Linked DNA regions of Yarrowia lipolytica. The protein of the gene in region 1 purifies or fractionates together with the protein of each later gene. This does not show direct contact. Links are inferred from orthologs where the notes say so. Each region holds a gene or a part of one and is shown in the gene's direction. Other genes may lie near its edges.

Region 1 (4,625 bases):
AGATCACCATTGGCAAAGCCCGGTACACGGACGAGTCCAAGATTGTCGAGTTGCATGGCAGCAAGGTCCCGGGGGCTGTCAACATCAAGAAGTACAAGAAGAAGAAGTCGGACAAGAATTAACTGTATAGATATAATGATATGATTCACGCGAGGAACAAGTTGGACTTATTTAACTGTAGAGATGTAATTATATGATATTAACGAGGTGGATGGGTTGATGAGGTCAGGTTGGACCCTTGACGATATGACGGTTGACGAGATGACGATTAGACAAGGTGACGATTAGACGAGTTGACGATTAGACGAGTTGACGAGGTCCGACTCAACCGTCTCCGGCGCAACATCGATCTCCTGTCTCTATGAAAGTTCTAGAGTGTTATATATGTTAGAACCGGAAAAGTTGGACTGTTCTACAAGAACTGTACATGCTGAATGGGTAGAGTATCTCGATACTACAGTAGTACTTGTAACTGACACAAGTTGTACTGTAGTCGAAAGGACGCCGAGTCCCCGTCGACTCATTTAGCCCACTCGCATTGGCCATGTCGTAGTTTTATCACAACTCTGTGTGTTTCAGTCCACACACTGTTCACAATACAAACATCTCTTCGGAACCGACTTATCTCCTGGAATGGATCTACTCCTTACCTCCACTACAATACGTAATGCATAAATACCATTTTCTAATATCCCTTGTGTAATTTTTGTGTGTAGACGTCCGGTCAGCTCAAACCGCCAGAGGAGCGCCCAGAGTGGTGCCCTTGGAGCCGCTCTGAAAAGCAATCTCTGTGGCATCGGGGTCTTCAGTAAGAGCCATCTTGATGGGATTCTGTGTCGAGGTGATTCGGTCGAGCTCTTCTCGGGCCATACGTCGCTTGAGCTGGGTCTTGGTCTCGGCGTCGTCCACCATCTCGTCCTCGTCCTCGTCAGCGTTGGTCATCACGTCCACGGACTCGGCAATCTTGCCAATGATGTTGGCTCGCTTTCGGCTGCCCACCGCCTGGATGGCGTCGACGTCAATCTCGCCCAGTCGGCTGACAATGTAGTCGGCGTTTCTCGAGTTCTTCTTGGCCTGCTTCTTGGTCACCATCTTAGACTTGAGCTCGACACCCTTGCCGTCTCGTCGCACGTACGAGTTGCCCTTGTTCTTGTTGTGCTGCCGGGGCTTCTTGCCCAGCACCTTGGGCTTGTGGATATTGTTGTTGTTAGGCATTTGTGTCGGGTTGAGTAGCTAGCAGAAAATAATTTTCCTGCTCATGTACAAAAATATTTATCATGCAGAAAGTTTCATGTAGGTGAAAAGGGGCGTGTTGGGTTCGATCCGCGGTTGTGCGATTTTTTAAAACTCGCCATTCTCGCCATAAAAGCACCCGTGACGTCTCTCAGCTGGCCCAATAAACCCCCATATCGTCCGAAATATTTTTCCGTCGCAATTCCACACTTCTTCTTTGCCCCAGCGCCACCGCTAAGATTTTTCAGAACCCTATCGAGAGATCACGAACTCACCACTTTTCAAAAACATACGGCTGGTTGTGGTTTCTTCCAAGTCCGTCAAAATTTGGAAGCTCAACGTCAAACCTGCTAGCACGGCCGCAAGACCGTTTGCTTTTCTATACAGAACATCCACCCGCCTAACGCGCGCGAAGCTGGAACGTCGCAACATGAAGGCTCAAAGACAGGCTGAACAAAAGCAGAAGAAGAAGGCCGAGAAGAAGGCCAAGGGCGTGCTACCCGACCTGTCGTCGACCCAGTCTCTGTACAACTTCATGAGCTACTCGTCCGATACGGCGGGGCCGGGAGTCACGCTACAGACAATGAAGGGAGAGAAGTTTCTGTTTGGACATGTCACAGAAGGAACCCAGAGAGCGATTCTGGAACAGAAGCCACGAGTCAACAAAATGTCCGGCATCTACCTCACAGGGCCCGTCACCTGGTCCACCTTGTCCGGTCTTGCCGGCTTCCTGCTGACTCTGGTGGGCATGGGAAAGACTGATCTGGACCTGAGATCGTGTGGTCACAACGTCAACTGGTTCTGCGCCACCTGGAGACACTTTGTGTTTCACAAGACCATGGCGATCCGAACCGACAGAATGACCAAGGGCCACGTGACCGACGAGATCAACATTGGCGGCGTTCTCATCACCCCCACCGAGTCACGGCTGCAACAGGAGGAGCAGCACCAGAACGGAGAGAAGCTCGCTCCCCGAAACCTCCAACCGCTGCGAAGGGACACGCCCTGGACTAACGTCAACCGGGTACTCAAGACCATGTTCAGCTCGCGAGGCGGAGACTACGGATACAACCGCAAGGAGTTGCAGAAGCAGTCGGATACGGCGCTCCCCGCGGTCGATTTGGACGAGAGATCCACCTGTTACATTGCTCAGTTGCACCAAAAGAAGGGCAAGTTCAACGTCGAGGCTGCAAATGCTCTTAACGTTCCCAGATCCGACTTCAAGCAGTTAATCGCAGGCAACAACGTGACTTTGGAGGACGGATCGGTGATCAAGCCCGAGCAGTGTATTGGTGAACCCTCCAACTACGGCCGAATTCTGTTTCTCGACATTCCCGATGCTCGCTACGTTGATGGTGTCATCAACTGCCCTGAGTGGACCCGTAAATACAATACTCGAGACGCCCAGCCGGTGTATGGAGCCGGTCAGAAGCGCGATTCGGGCGAGATGAACGAGGAAGTCAAGACTCCCGATGTCTCAAATGTGCTCGAGCCCTTCGTTTCCACAGTCTACCACTTTTTCGGTCCCGAAATGGAGTCCTATTTCGCCAGCGACCCCGAAAAGTACTTTGAGTGGATGGAGTCGTTAGGCAGCAACGTGATGCACATCATTTCTGCTCCCTGGCTCGACCCCCACGCACTGACCTTCCGGGGTTCCGCCAGTTTGTGCTACAAACTTCGAAACATTGTGGGAGATCAGTTCCCCTTGCATGGTAAGGACTACCGAACTCTGAGCGACCCCAAGGCAGATTTCTTGGCAGATGAGACCATCCAGAATCGATTCAACATGCGCCTCTTGACCCAGGGTGACGCTGTGTCTATTGAAAACACCACAAACACTTCTCGGGTCGTCAACAGTGGTCTACGTGAGTATGAAGGGTTGGGATACACTCCGGAGGAGACTTCAGTCGACAGACCGCTTCGAAACGATGATGGTACTCTCAAGTGCAAGGCAGAGCTGCTGACACTGGGAACTGGATCGGCGTGTCCTTCTAAGTACCGAAACGTGGCTGGACTGATCATGCGAGTTCCCCGAGCTGACGGCTCTTTCACTGGAGTTGTTATGGACTGTGGAGAGGGCACCTACGGCACTCTGACCCGGATGTACTCGCCCGAAGCTTGTCTCCAGATTATGCGGGAGATCAAGATGATCTACATTTCTCATCTTCACGCCGACCATCATCTAGGCACTCCCACCTTCATCGAACAGTGGCTCAAGGCCAACCCAGACGAGACTCTGTCTGTGGTTGGTCCCCAGTCTTACAAGCGGTTCCTTGAGGAGTGTGCTAATTTCACCCCGGAAATGCAAGCTCGAATCAGGTACTATGGTTGCTGGGCATTCTTGGAAAAGCACAGAAAGATGTCTGCCTTGCCCGAGGTTCCTGGTCTGACCTCGATTAAGACGTGCTGGGCTCACCACTGCGAGCAGTCTTTCTGTGTCGAGTTCGGCTTTCAGCTCGATGACAGCGAGACATTCAACGTTGCATACTCTGGTGACACGAGACCCATCGAGGCCTTTTCGGAGATGGCCCGAGACTGCGACCTGGTCATTCACGAGGCTACTTTGAACAACGATCTTCCCGAGGAGGCTATCCTTAAGAAACATTGTACCTTTTCGGAGGCTCTGGGGGTGTGCAAAGACATGGAAGCCAAGCATGTCGTTCTCACACACTTTTCACAGCGGTATCCCAAGTTGCCTGAGCTTTCGGCGTTGACTCTGGAGACGAAGGATCTACAAAAGGTGCCAGTGGCCATTGCGTTCGATATGATGCGGATAAGACTGGGCGAGATTGCCGAACAGGCCGACCATTTTGACGCCATTGCCAAGGCTCTGGAGGATGGAGAGCGGGGCGAGGCCGACGATGTTCCTGCATGGTAAAAGTGGAGGAAAAATGAACATAGAGAGAATTAGACGGTCATATCGAGTGAAAAGATATTTTTACATACAGGCGAAACGGAAACAGCCACTTTGTTATTTCAAGTGGATGCTGAATGTGTTGAGGATTAAGTGGTAATCTTGGGATTGCATAGCATCAGTTCTGTGTCTCGCGTTCTTTTGCGACAGTCGAGTTCAAGACGACACGAGAAAAACAAAAAAAAAAAAAAAAAAAAAAAAAAAAAAAAAAGCATTTCTACCACAAGCTTAGTCAAATGGTTTCTCCGACTGAGAGTTCCTGTAGAATACCACAGCGTCTCCGTTTCGGAACTCGTCTTTCTCGTTGCGAGAATAGTGCCATGACACTGTTTAAGAGTCCCGCCAGGAGTCTTTACCTGTTGGGTTTATCCGTAGTTTTGCCAAAGTAAGACTGGTAGAGGGTGCTACGGTTGCCCCAGACTAAGTCTGCTTCAGGACGTTCTTCAGGACGTTCTTCAGGACTGTTGTCTTTGGGCCC
Region 2 (3,222 bases), on another chromosome or scaffold:
TGACGACGACGACGACGACGGCGAATATGAGGAGCCTCAGATTCAGCTCAAGTCCTTCGCATAAGTAGAGTAGGAGTGAGTGGCAGTTGGTCACTAACAGTACAGTAGAAAGATAGAACTATGTACGATGGCATTAACAATTTTTTAAAATATGAATTTACGATGAGTGTGGTAAAATATTGCGACAGGTCTCTCTGTTTTGCGTGTCTGCAATTTTGAATGAGTGGCAGGCACAAATTAAGCTCAGCTCCGTTCCCGACTGTAAGCATGCAGGACTGCATTGCACACGTCATTTGACTTTTTTAACAGAGTATATGTTGAATAGAATTTTAAATAAGGTTGAAAGTGTGCATGAATCTAGCCTGTCGATTTACACCACTAATTCCCGCGCGAGACGAATTAATTGCCATTTTTTTGACCTTATTGGTATTTGAGTTTCTAGTTGAAATTGGAGGGGATTTCAGCTAGAAACTCTTGTCGAATGACCGGAGGAAAGAGTTGATTGTTTTGTTATTCTCTTAATGTCTCGTTGTGGCGTGTTTTTTATTTGTTACATCGGGCCACAGTACGAATACCAGGTTGGTCATGTTGTCCGGTTCAGATGATCTTTCGGTGGATGTTGAAGGGTCCGAGTGTGTTGAACGCGGTGTGTGGTTCTTGTATGTTAGATATAGGATTACAGGGGGTAGTTGCTGTGTTATTAGTGACATGGGACTGGTAGGCTGAGTAGTGTGAGGATTATTTGCTCACTTTTCGTGTTTTTGAGAGGGAAATTACAGAACTTGTACGGGGTCCCAAGCACTCCTACTCGTATTAAGTTTGGTCACTGGGCAGAAAGTATTTCGTTAGATACGAGCTCCGCTTATGAGTAGAGTATGATGCTATGACCGTACAAGTACCAATGGTCATTTATGGCTATTGAAAATACAGTACCAGGTATTTTTGCTGTAGAGTGCATCATTCAGGGGTTTTATTAGATGCGAACTGTGAATTCTGATTTACAGAATTATACAAGTACAAGTACAGTATTATTTTTTTCTGCATGTACAAGTATATGACTGGGGAAGGGGTGAAAATTAGTTGGGCTTGTACTTGAGTTTGACGAGAATCGAAAAAAAGACAACCAGGAAGCAACCAGTGACTAGAATTAGAAATAAATAGCGGTTAACATGCGTAAATTGCAATTGTTCTTCGTCAAGTCACAGGTCTGGTCCCCTTTGCCTTGCACTTCACGTCTCACGGTGCTTGAACGCTGCACCCCTGATTCGTGCACATCTACAGTATAACAGCTTACTCATATAGCAGGTACAAGTACCGAGAAGTCAACTTTAGACGACTTACAAGAGAGGTCAAGAACCAGCAGAATCTCGTCAAAGTGAGATTGCACGTACAAATTATTGTGGAGGTCAAAATGAACTTGCAGGCAGTCACGTATTGCACTAACTGGTTTCGTCATACTGTAAAACTCTCACTCTCATCACCACTGGTCAGATCCACGCGTTGTATCTCTGTCTTCCAATTGGCTTGTCCACCTAATGAGAGCTGGCACTCGGACTGTACCAGGTGGTCACATCACCATTCATTCTTGTATCCATCACTAGACCCCAGGTCCCCCGTCTCTGATCCTCTTTAAATTAACGCCTATCAGATGCTCAAGACGCGCCCAAACTCTACGATCAAACTTTGGCTGTACATAAACCCTTGATCTCAGACTACAGCCTCAGCACGGTACAGTACTCTCTTTCGACATGTCCAAAATCGCAGCTTCCATCGCAGCTATTGCCGGCACCGGTCTGGCGGCCCATCTGTGGGCGGACTCGCCCAGAGCGTCTCTCGACGTGTTCAACGGCTCAACCCCGGCGGTTCCAGTCAAGCCAGGGGAGTTCTTCAAGTACGGCTTCCCCGGAGCAGCCCACGACATTGCCTACCGACAGGAGTTTGTGTCGTGCTACGACCGAGAACGACGTAACCCCATGTGGGTCGTGGAACACATCACCCCGGACTCCATCAAGTCCAACAAGGGCGAGGGAGCCCCGGATCGAAAGTTCTCCAACTTCAAGGAAGATCAGGAGGTGCCGCTCAAGTTCCGGGCTCGGCTGGCCGACTACTTCCGATCGGGCTACGATCGAGGCCACCAGGCACCCGCAGCTGACGCAAAGTTCTCCCAGAAGGCCATGGACGAGACCTTCTTCCTGACCAACATTGCCCCCCAGGTCGGAGACGGATTCAACAGAGACTACTGGGCCCACCTGGAGGACTTTTGCCGACGGCTGACCAAGCAGTACGGCAGCGTGTACATTGTGACCGGACCGCTGTACCTGCCTAAGAAGTACCCCGATGGCAAGTACCGAGTGTCGTACGAGGTGATTGGTAACCCCCCCAACGTGGCTGTCCCCACACACTTTTTCAAGATTGTGCTGGCCGAGAAGCCCGTCAAGAATCCCGGAACCAGTGACGTGGCTGTTGCTGCCTTTGTGCTCCCTAACGACGTGATTCCCAACGAGACCAAGCTTACCTCGTTTCAGACCCCCGTGGATGCCATTGAGCGGTCCACCGGAGTCGAGTTCCTCAACAAGATCACCGTCAAGCAGAAGGACCTGTGTCGAGAAGTCGACTGCTCCATTGTCGTACGAGACTTTACCAAGGCCCTCCCTGCCCCTAACGGGTTGCTGGCTCTTCCCGCCCCTGAAAAGTAGCCTACTGTATATAGTCAAAGAGTGTAGAACATATATCATCATGGTCGCTGTGTTGAGTCATACTCGATGTTTCGGAAGAACTGGAACTATTACTTGTGTGATAACGGGGGAAATGTGCCCTAGAGCTCGTAGAAGATGGCTTCATACGCTACACTGTCCAACCACCTCTCACTTGTGCTACGATCATAAAGCCATGCAAGTGCAATATATTAGTTCCTAACTACTTGTAGTCCCCACTACAAGAGGTAGTTTGTCAAGAGTCCCAGCGACAATTGCTGAGAACATGGCATGTATCTGTTGAGAGCGAGAGTTAGAAGCGCTCATCGAAACCCCCTACTTCGTAGTGCTGCTGCCTACCCTCGCTACGTTGAGCTCCGCTCTCCAGCTAGGCGACAATCCTCAGCACCTCTGCCTTCAATGTTCGCATGTTCACCAGTACCACCTCTCCCGTCTCATCAAACCGCGGAACTGCCACCAGACGCACTGACACTCCGTCATGCTTGACAACACTGGTCTGGAACTCGTC

Evidence for each region. Proteins that work in one complex are often made in the same cells at the same time.
Region 2: the proteins of YALI1_A13046g (region 1) and YALI1_D06638g purify together in Saccharomyces cerevisiae (affinity purification with mass spectrometry; 6 studies listed by BioGRID, with this or other methods). This does not show direct contact. The link is inferred for Yarrowia lipolytica from reciprocal best matches to the Saccharomyces cerevisiae genes TRZ1 and NUC1.

Annotation. Positions count from the first base shown.
Region 1 is NC_090770.1:1,302,928-1,307,552, forward strand, and holds YALI1_A13046g (uncharacterized protein), read left to right. Parts: upstream 1-1,663; coding exon 1,664-4,111; downstream 4,112-4,625. Other genes in the region: YALI1_A13019g (uncharacterized protein), read left to right, coding at 1-122; YALI1_A13041g (uncharacterized protein), read right to left, coding at 730-1,215; YALI1_A13095g (uncharacterized protein), read right to left, coding at 4,500-4,625. UniProt on the Saccharomyces cerevisiae protein: Zinc phosphodiesterase, which displays some tRNA 3'-processing endonuclease activity. Probably involved in tRNA maturation, by removing a 3'-trailer from precursor tRNA.
Region 2 is NC_090773.1:662,073-665,294, forward strand, and holds YALI1_D06638g (uncharacterized protein), read left to right. Parts: upstream 1-1,748; coding exon 1,749-2,696; downstream 2,697-3,222. Other genes in the region: YALI1_D06572g (uncharacterized protein), read left to right, coding at 1-64; YALI1_D06665g (uncharacterized protein), read right to left, coding at 3,082-3,222. UniProt on the Saccharomyces cerevisiae protein: This enzyme has both RNase and DNase activity.